Linked DNA regions of Saccharomyces cerevisiae S288C. The gene in region 2 interacts genetically with the main gene of each other region. Each region holds a gene or a part of one and is shown on either strand. Other genes may lie near its edges.

Evidence for each region.
Region 1: mutations in PTP1 (region 2) and VPS501 together harm fitness more than expected from each alone (negative genetic interaction), as found in Saccharomyces cerevisiae (2 studies listed by BioGRID).

The regions. Positions count from the first base shown.
Region 1 is NC_001143.9:583,402-587,543, forward strand, and holds VPS501 (sorting nexin family protein), read left to right. Parts: upstream 1-1,550; coding exon 1,551-3,308; downstream 3,309-4,142. Other genes in the region: MSA2 (Msa2p), read left to right, coding at 252-1,343; TRZ1 (tRNase Z), read right to left, coding at 3,388-4,142.
Region 2 is NC_001136.10:40,574-44,207, reverse strand, and holds PTP1 (tyrosine protein phosphatase PTP1), read right to left. Parts: upstream 1,509-3,634; coding exon 501-1,508; downstream 1-500. Other genes in the region: Hsp70 family ATPase SSB1, read right to left, coding at 1-143; BRE4 (Bre4p), read left to right, coding at 1,964-3,634. UniProt on the Saccharomyces cerevisiae protein: Is not required for vegetative growth.

The DNA.
Region 1 (4,142 bases), on a different chromosome or scaffold from region 2:
GTAATTAAATAATCAAATGTCTATAATCTCCCTGAGTTGCCTCTTTTTCTATACTCAATTGGGTAATTGACGCGAAACGCGTTAAAGTGCAAAAAAAGGCCTGGAAATTATATTTAACGCAATGAAATATTTTCATAATATGACATTCATGCACAGCTGTATTCATTCTTCTACTTTGTAGTTTGTTATTCTTCTTTATCGGTTTCGTTTTACAAAAGATTTTAGCAAGGAAGCAGTTTTTAAACCAATCAATGGTATACACAACACCGCAACAACAGCAGAGATTCAGCTCCACACCGCAATCTAGCCACACTCTTATCTTCTCGCCAATCAGAGCCCCTTCAATGCAAACGCCCTCCTCATTGGATTACCAATCACCTTCAATTGTTGTGTCATCGTCTTCAATGAAGGTTCACGGCCGGTCTTCCAGTTTCGGTAAATTTTCACTGTCTATTGGGCAAAATGGTAAGGCTACAATACTGGGGCCTATAAACGTCCTTCCCACTGATACATCGAAAATGGAGAAACCTGTACCAAAGAAAAAGCCTGTTACTTCTGACCGTGTCGAAAAGACTCGTATATTATCTTTGTTGAAAAAAATGAGAAACAAGAGCAGTACTGTCAACAAAAAATATAGTAAAGTACCATTAAAGTCTACGACAAGTTTGCAACCAGCAGCTACTGCACCTTCACCACTAGTGTCCAACATCATAAAGCCGTCTCCCAAAAAGTTAGCTTCCCCAAGAACTCCGAATGCAAACTCCAATTTAAATCTAAACTTTACTTCATTTCAGATTAAAACAGGTTTCACTCCCAATCTCGATGGAATTTTACTTGAAAACTTCACGTCTCCTAACACAACCGCTGATTCACAGGGTAATTCCGCCAGTAACATCATAAATAATAATCACGGTAGCGCAAATAATACCAACCAATTTCTTTTTAATCTACCACTTCAATCATCACCAAGGCAATTCAGGTCTCCTGCAAGATTAATAGATCCCCTTCCCATATCGGACTGGAACACCAGTCTCTTGATGTCACCCCCAAGAACGACGAATTTTGAATCTGCAAACAATCACTTCAATTCAAATTTTGCTCAAGCATCGATGTTAAGACGCCCTTCACTACCGCACATAGATGAGGTGATTCCACAGGACTCTAATCCAGCCAATTACTCAGATAGATCGGACTATCTATCTGTGGACCAGAACGCCAATAATCATAATGGTGCACTTTCAGAACAGACCTATAATAATATAATGAAATCTTCTATGATTTCGTTACCTATAGAAAAAGATGATGCCACAATGGCACTACGAAAACTTGTCTCCAGAGAGTAGGTCCATTTGGTTTTCGTAAAATACACTACGTAAGATTTCATTATATATTCAAAACCGAAGAACTTTATTTAATTAATTCTATTCAATATTTTTTTTTTCCCATTAAATTGTGTAGTGGAAGCAAAATGCACTGCGCTTATGTGAAAAAGTTACACAATAGGGAATACATGGAACAGCAGATCAGAACTGCAACCCTACAGATTAGATATGGAGAACGACAAGGCGTCACATGCGAGCCCAAGCATTGGAGTGAACGAATTTGTCGTTCAAGGGGAGATATCCATAGACGACTCCGAAAGGTCTGTCAAGAGTGTTAGCGTTAGCATAAGTGATGATGAGGATAGTAAGACAGATGTACAAGATAATATGGCCACACCGTCCACAAGATCGAAATTTCAAACAGATCTGGCCATTGATAATAGGCTATTGGAAAAAGATCCAAAGTACAAAAAACTTTTCACTGAAAAAAGAAGACGTCGAAGACCAGAAAGCTGTATTAACCTCATGACTAAAGGTAAGGGCACTGGACAAAAAGATAACATTAATGATCAAATTTTCAGCCTAAGAATATTACCAGGCTCCGATTTAAACTCTTTAAAGGATTCTTTATGGATAATAAAGATCTCTACCCAGCCAGATGTTGAAAAAACAATCGCAAGAGCTTTTTCTGATTTCTATTGGTTATATCATCAATTACAAAATAACCACTGGGGAAAAACGATTCCTCCGCCTACAAGGTCCAACATTCTTGTAGAGAAGGACGAATTTGCCATAAATCATCTTTTTATGATACGTAATAATGAGAAGTATGATCCAATTTTTAATTTCAAACCGGAATATATCATATCATTGCAATTGATGGCAATGATTAAGCACATATTCAATGACAAGGTTTTACGTTTGGATTCAAATTTCATAGATTTTATTAGTTGGGATGACGATCTTCCTGAAAGTTTGCAAATAGTAGTCGATGACAGTACCTTCACAGGGGATAAAATACTAATGACATCTTCTCAATTTCGAGAATTAAAAGAGTTTCATAAACAATCAAAAAAAGTGGAATCAATAACAAATTCACATGCTTCGTTAATACCCGTAACAGAACTTACCGAAATATATATAAGCCCGACCAAATTATTCTCTAGAAAAGACTACCAAAGGCTTTTTCAACCTCAAAGCACAGACAACACCTTTAATAACAATGACCCGTTGATTCAAGAGTGGATACCAAAAAGCAAAACATTATTCACTAGTTTATCCTTTGGTTCAAGTGCACCTACTTATCAAGAAGCGTCAACTGAGATACAGGCATGCCATGACTGGGTAAGCATATCCAAGGAGCAATGGAAACAGTTACTCTACCATGTATTACAGTACATTGTAGACGAGGCAGTGAAGGTGAATTCTGTGATAAACGAATTTACTGAGTGTCTTAAGCAAATTTCTTTGGACGAAGTCATTAGAGCAAACTCTGAACTATTTTTGAAATTTTCCAAACTGAATGAATCCTTTCTAAAAAAATTCAAAGGTGCATCGAGGCAAGACATTCTGAAGCTAATCATATTATTTGATGAAAATGTAAGATTTTGCGAATCATTTGAATCCATCTTAAATCAAAGATTGAAGCTTGGTAAAATTCTAAGCATCATAGAAGTGGATCTAGACAAGAAGAAAAACTTTCTTGACAAACTATCTCCGGGAAACAACAACAGTAACAATGAAGACCTTAAGATACGCACGGCAGAGGATGAATACCGCATTGTATTAAAAAGATATAACCGTGTTAAGCAGAGCTGGGAGAAAATTATGGAAGATATCTTAAATGAACGGAAAGAATTTGAGAAGAGAGAAGCCGCCGAGGTTAATAGTTGTTTAAAATCAATAAGAGATTTGAACATGGATGAAAAGAAACACTATTTACAATTATGGCAAGACTTTGTACCAGATGAGCACATAAGCCAATGAATATGTACATAATAACGTAATTAAAGAAGATAATTTACTACTGAAAAAGCAACAATATAAGAAGTTAAGATGAATTATACTAATTTTTCTTGTGTTTCTTAAGTTTGACTTCCAAATCTTGTACGCTTTCAACGTCATCAACATCTTCTTCTTCTTCCTTTTCTTCAACAAATGCCTTATTCAGCAGTGGAAAAATACGCTGCTGTTCACCAATTTTCTCATAATCAACGATCATACTGTCGAAAGCAAAACAAAATTCTCTCGCCATCACATCAATATTATTGTCTAATTGGGGCAATTTGGGATATCTCTGGGAAAAGTGTGTTAAGATCAACTTCCTAGCATTCATTTTGTTCGAAACACCGATTGCTTCATTAATAGTGCAGTGTTTTTTCTTCACGGCATCCTCCAGTAGCTGATTTTCTAGTGTAGCTTCGTGAATTAATAGATCTGAATTATAGCCTATTTCGAGGGAAAATTTCTCGATGTTAGGTCTTGTATCGCCTGAATATGAAACCTTGAATGTATTATGCTCATTGTTTTCGTCCATTCGGAAGGTAATTGAGTTCGAATATGCCCAGTCACAATGTATAGCTCTGCAAGTTTGAAAATATTCTATCGATAAATCCTCATACATTTGTCTGATCAAGTCAACATCCCTATATGAAGAATCTCTATCCAGTTCCAGTTTTCTGTTTGATTCTTGATTGCTATTTTCTTTCAATATTTCATTGAACTCTGCCAAAGGAACAGATTGTGTCTGCATTCTTACAAACGAATCATTGATGAAATGCTCACAACTTATGTATTTGATTCTCTTTAAAATCTCTTTAT
Region 2 (3,634 bases):
GGAGTGAAAGCAACGAAAGATGGGGTGACTCTGTTACCTTGTTCGTTGGCAATAATTTCAACGGAGGATTCGTAAGTAGCAACACAAGAGTAGGTTGTACCTAAATCGATACCGATAGCACCTTGGAAAACACCTTCAGCCATTTTGTTCAATTAAAATACTGTAATGATCTTGGGACATCTGAAAATCCAAAAGCAAGAAACATTTTTTAAAGAAGGAAAAGCAAAGCGACAATAACTAATTAATCTTTATATAAAAAGAGATGAGTACTACAAAAGAAACGTCGAGCGAAGATGAAAAATTTTTCTTTTTTTTTTTTTCAGTTGCGTGCTATAAAAAAAAAAAAAAAAAGATTCATCCATACTTCCCGTTCGAAATGATCATAAATAACTGCGGTGTATGGGCTATGTTCCCATGACAACGAAGCTAGAATATAATTATAAGGATGAATAAGTATTGTTATTGAAAAAATGCACAATTAGGAACTTTTATATAGCTGTCTATTGGTTCACGGAAAGACTGTTAAGATACTTGGCAGCATGGTAGATAAATAGGAACTGATCCTTTGTCTGAACCATTTTCATTCTTTGCGAGCGCAACTGTAACACGATCTGTTCGATCAAGTCCCGTGTGTACTCCTCTGTAGCCCTGTCTGAATGCCTTGACCGTTCTGTAATATTTTTAAAATCCAAGGTATCATGCATGAGATGATCTAGGGCAATGAACGTCCCCGTTCTGCCCACGCCTGCGGAACAGTGTACGATAATGGGGTTCCCGCGGGAATTCAAGCTGTGGGAGTGAGCGCATAATTCCATTATGGGTACTACTTCCTCTGGCTTGTTCATATCTTTCCAAAGGTCGAAGTAAAAGTGGTGAACAGTTTTGACAGGTCCTACAAGAGGGTCCGTGGGTGTGAGTTTGATATCGGTGACCGTATAATAGTCCTTCACCTTATGTACGTTAACAAACTCTATTTTCAAATCAGAGGGAAATTGAGTCATATCATTGGCGCCGCCCGGACTTTCCCATTTTGATGCTATTCTAACCGTATCGTCTACACCACCGCGAGGCCAGTACTGGTAGCACTTCTCCCTATTGTATTCTACCAGAGGCGTGACCATCACAATGACAATATTGTCTAAAGGACAATTGTGATAGCACATTTGCCAAAACTGATCCCAAGTTTTACGCGTGGGACCTTGAGTAGCAATATAGTAGCCCGGTTCGATGCTCTGCCCTGGCACGTTCACTTTGACATACGAGGCATTAATGTAATCATTCCCGGATAGAGTCTTCAAATGAACGCGGTTCCTCTCATACGGCATAATGTTAACGTATCTGTTTCTAGCATCGTTACGAGGTTCTATGCTGACCCCCAACGACCATCGTGAATTCACCGTTCCGTTTGTAGCTTCCCTTAATCTGCCGTCTTCTTGATTCTGTATGAACTTGAATTTACCCAATAAATCCGTGTCACGCTGTCTAATATACCATGGTGCAGCTGCCATCTCCACTGTCGCAAACTACTACTAACAAACGCTTTTCTTGATAACTCCTCGATGAACCCTTTTCCTCAATAAAATGTAAATATAGTTTGCCTTCCTCTTAATAGTGTGTACAAATGAATTTTTCTAATACTAAACGCCCTAAAAATGACCTAATTAAATATTACGTTAACCTAAAAAAGTACAAAGAAAAAAATGGAACACCTACAAATTATAAACAATAACCCTGTCGCCCAAAGTTAGGTTTCCGATAAGACTTTTCAGTGAACAAAATCTGGAAATGAAAGGCGATATAACATTATCAAAGATGATTATGTATAGATTGCGTGAAATACGCGCAGGAAAACGAGTTTAAGCGTCACTAACACTTTAATCAATTTAAAGTTCATTTTTAACTTGCTTTGTGCTCCACTAAGGAAAGCATGTACAGTATAGTGCTGGAATTGTAACAGGTCCTCATGAAAAGATATGAGCGAGATCGAAGTCCCACTCCTGATCCTGATATTGTGAAAGGTTCATACTCTCAAACATCACTCAGGTCACTACATGAACTTAACTATAAGAATCCTGCCGGTATAAGCGGGCTTAGCTTTGCAGGAAGCCCACAACAATCCGTGGCATCCTTATCGCAAATGCGGCTGGAAAATTTGGTTAAGGACAAACACTGGGAGGAAGTAGAGGACTTTGGGCTGGAAGAGCTGAGAGATGGGTTTTTTGATGCTGCTTTTACCAAGCCGGACAGCAAAGCTAGGTCTCCTAACAGCGACATCGATGACGACAATGGCGCTGCAAGGAAAAAACTGCAATCTGGTTTTACCAAGCTTTCCGAATATGTTTGGACTGCTATCTACAGGCCCATTATTCATTTCCCTAGAGATATTAGAAAAAATGGGGTATCCATATTCAAGTTTTTTATTGCTTATTTCATTGCTATCGTGATTTGCGTTATCAGGCCTTCTGGTAGGTGGATTGGCCATGAGTTCAGGTATTTTCTACCCATCGCAGTACTTATACATCATCCGGTCAGAAATATTGGTGTTCAACTGGAAATGACTATAAGCTCCATTATCGGCGCAAGTTTTGGCCTGGGATGGTCGGCTTTGGCATGGTACATTTCCACAGCGACAAAGCCGACCGCAAACTACCAGGGAGGAATTTTATTTCAGAGTCTGACTATGGCCCTCTTATTTGCCATCTGGCTAAGGTCTGTTTACCGTCGGTTCTTCTATTTCACAACTTCGTTTTCGATATCGATTATATTCACTCATACAGTTCGGTTGGCCTCATCCAAGTTTGATTTGAAGTGGCAAATTTTTTGGGATTTTGGAATCTCATATCTCTTCGGCCTTTTGCTATCTCTCTTGGTTTGTGTATGTGTATCACCACATAGTGGCAATGCAGAGTTAATGGAACATTATAACAAGTGTCTACAGACCACAAAGACCTTTTTAATGGCACTAGTAGATACTGAATTAATAAAGTCCAAAGAACAAATTTACCTAGCCCAAGTAAAAATGGTGAAAACACTAAACATTGATTTATCTCAAGGTTTTAGAGATTTTGTAAATCAGTTGACAATTTCCAGGTTTGACCTTCAATCGTTGAAGAGTTTAAGAAATTCTTTAACTGCCATGGAAACTTCTCTGAGAGTATTACCCATTGCACCCAAAATTTTTAATGATGATGAATTGAAAAAGATGTATGAAGAATTGGAGAAGTATAGATCGGATTCTGCGACCCTGAGCAAAGAAGCAAGCGCTAGCCCTCAATCTTCAGGAATTCCAACAAGAGAAAACACGCCCAGTGCCTTTAAGCCTATCGGTCCGGGGCTTTTAAAAAATGAAATCTACATTAATGCATTAAAGGCGTCCTTCTCGAAAAGCATCTTCAACTTAATACTGGAAATGATCTTCGTTTTGGAAAATCTATCAAGAGTACTAAAGAAATACGAGTCTCCAAATCAAAAAAACAACTTAGATGAGTGTGTCAAAATATTAAGTCACTCGCATTCTAAATTAAAGAGGAAAATTTACAAACTAGATGTTTGTTACAGGGATTTTGTGAATTCTAGTTTTTTTTCACAGGAACTGTTGAATGACGAAGAGTCTGTCGATATTTTCCTTTTTCTA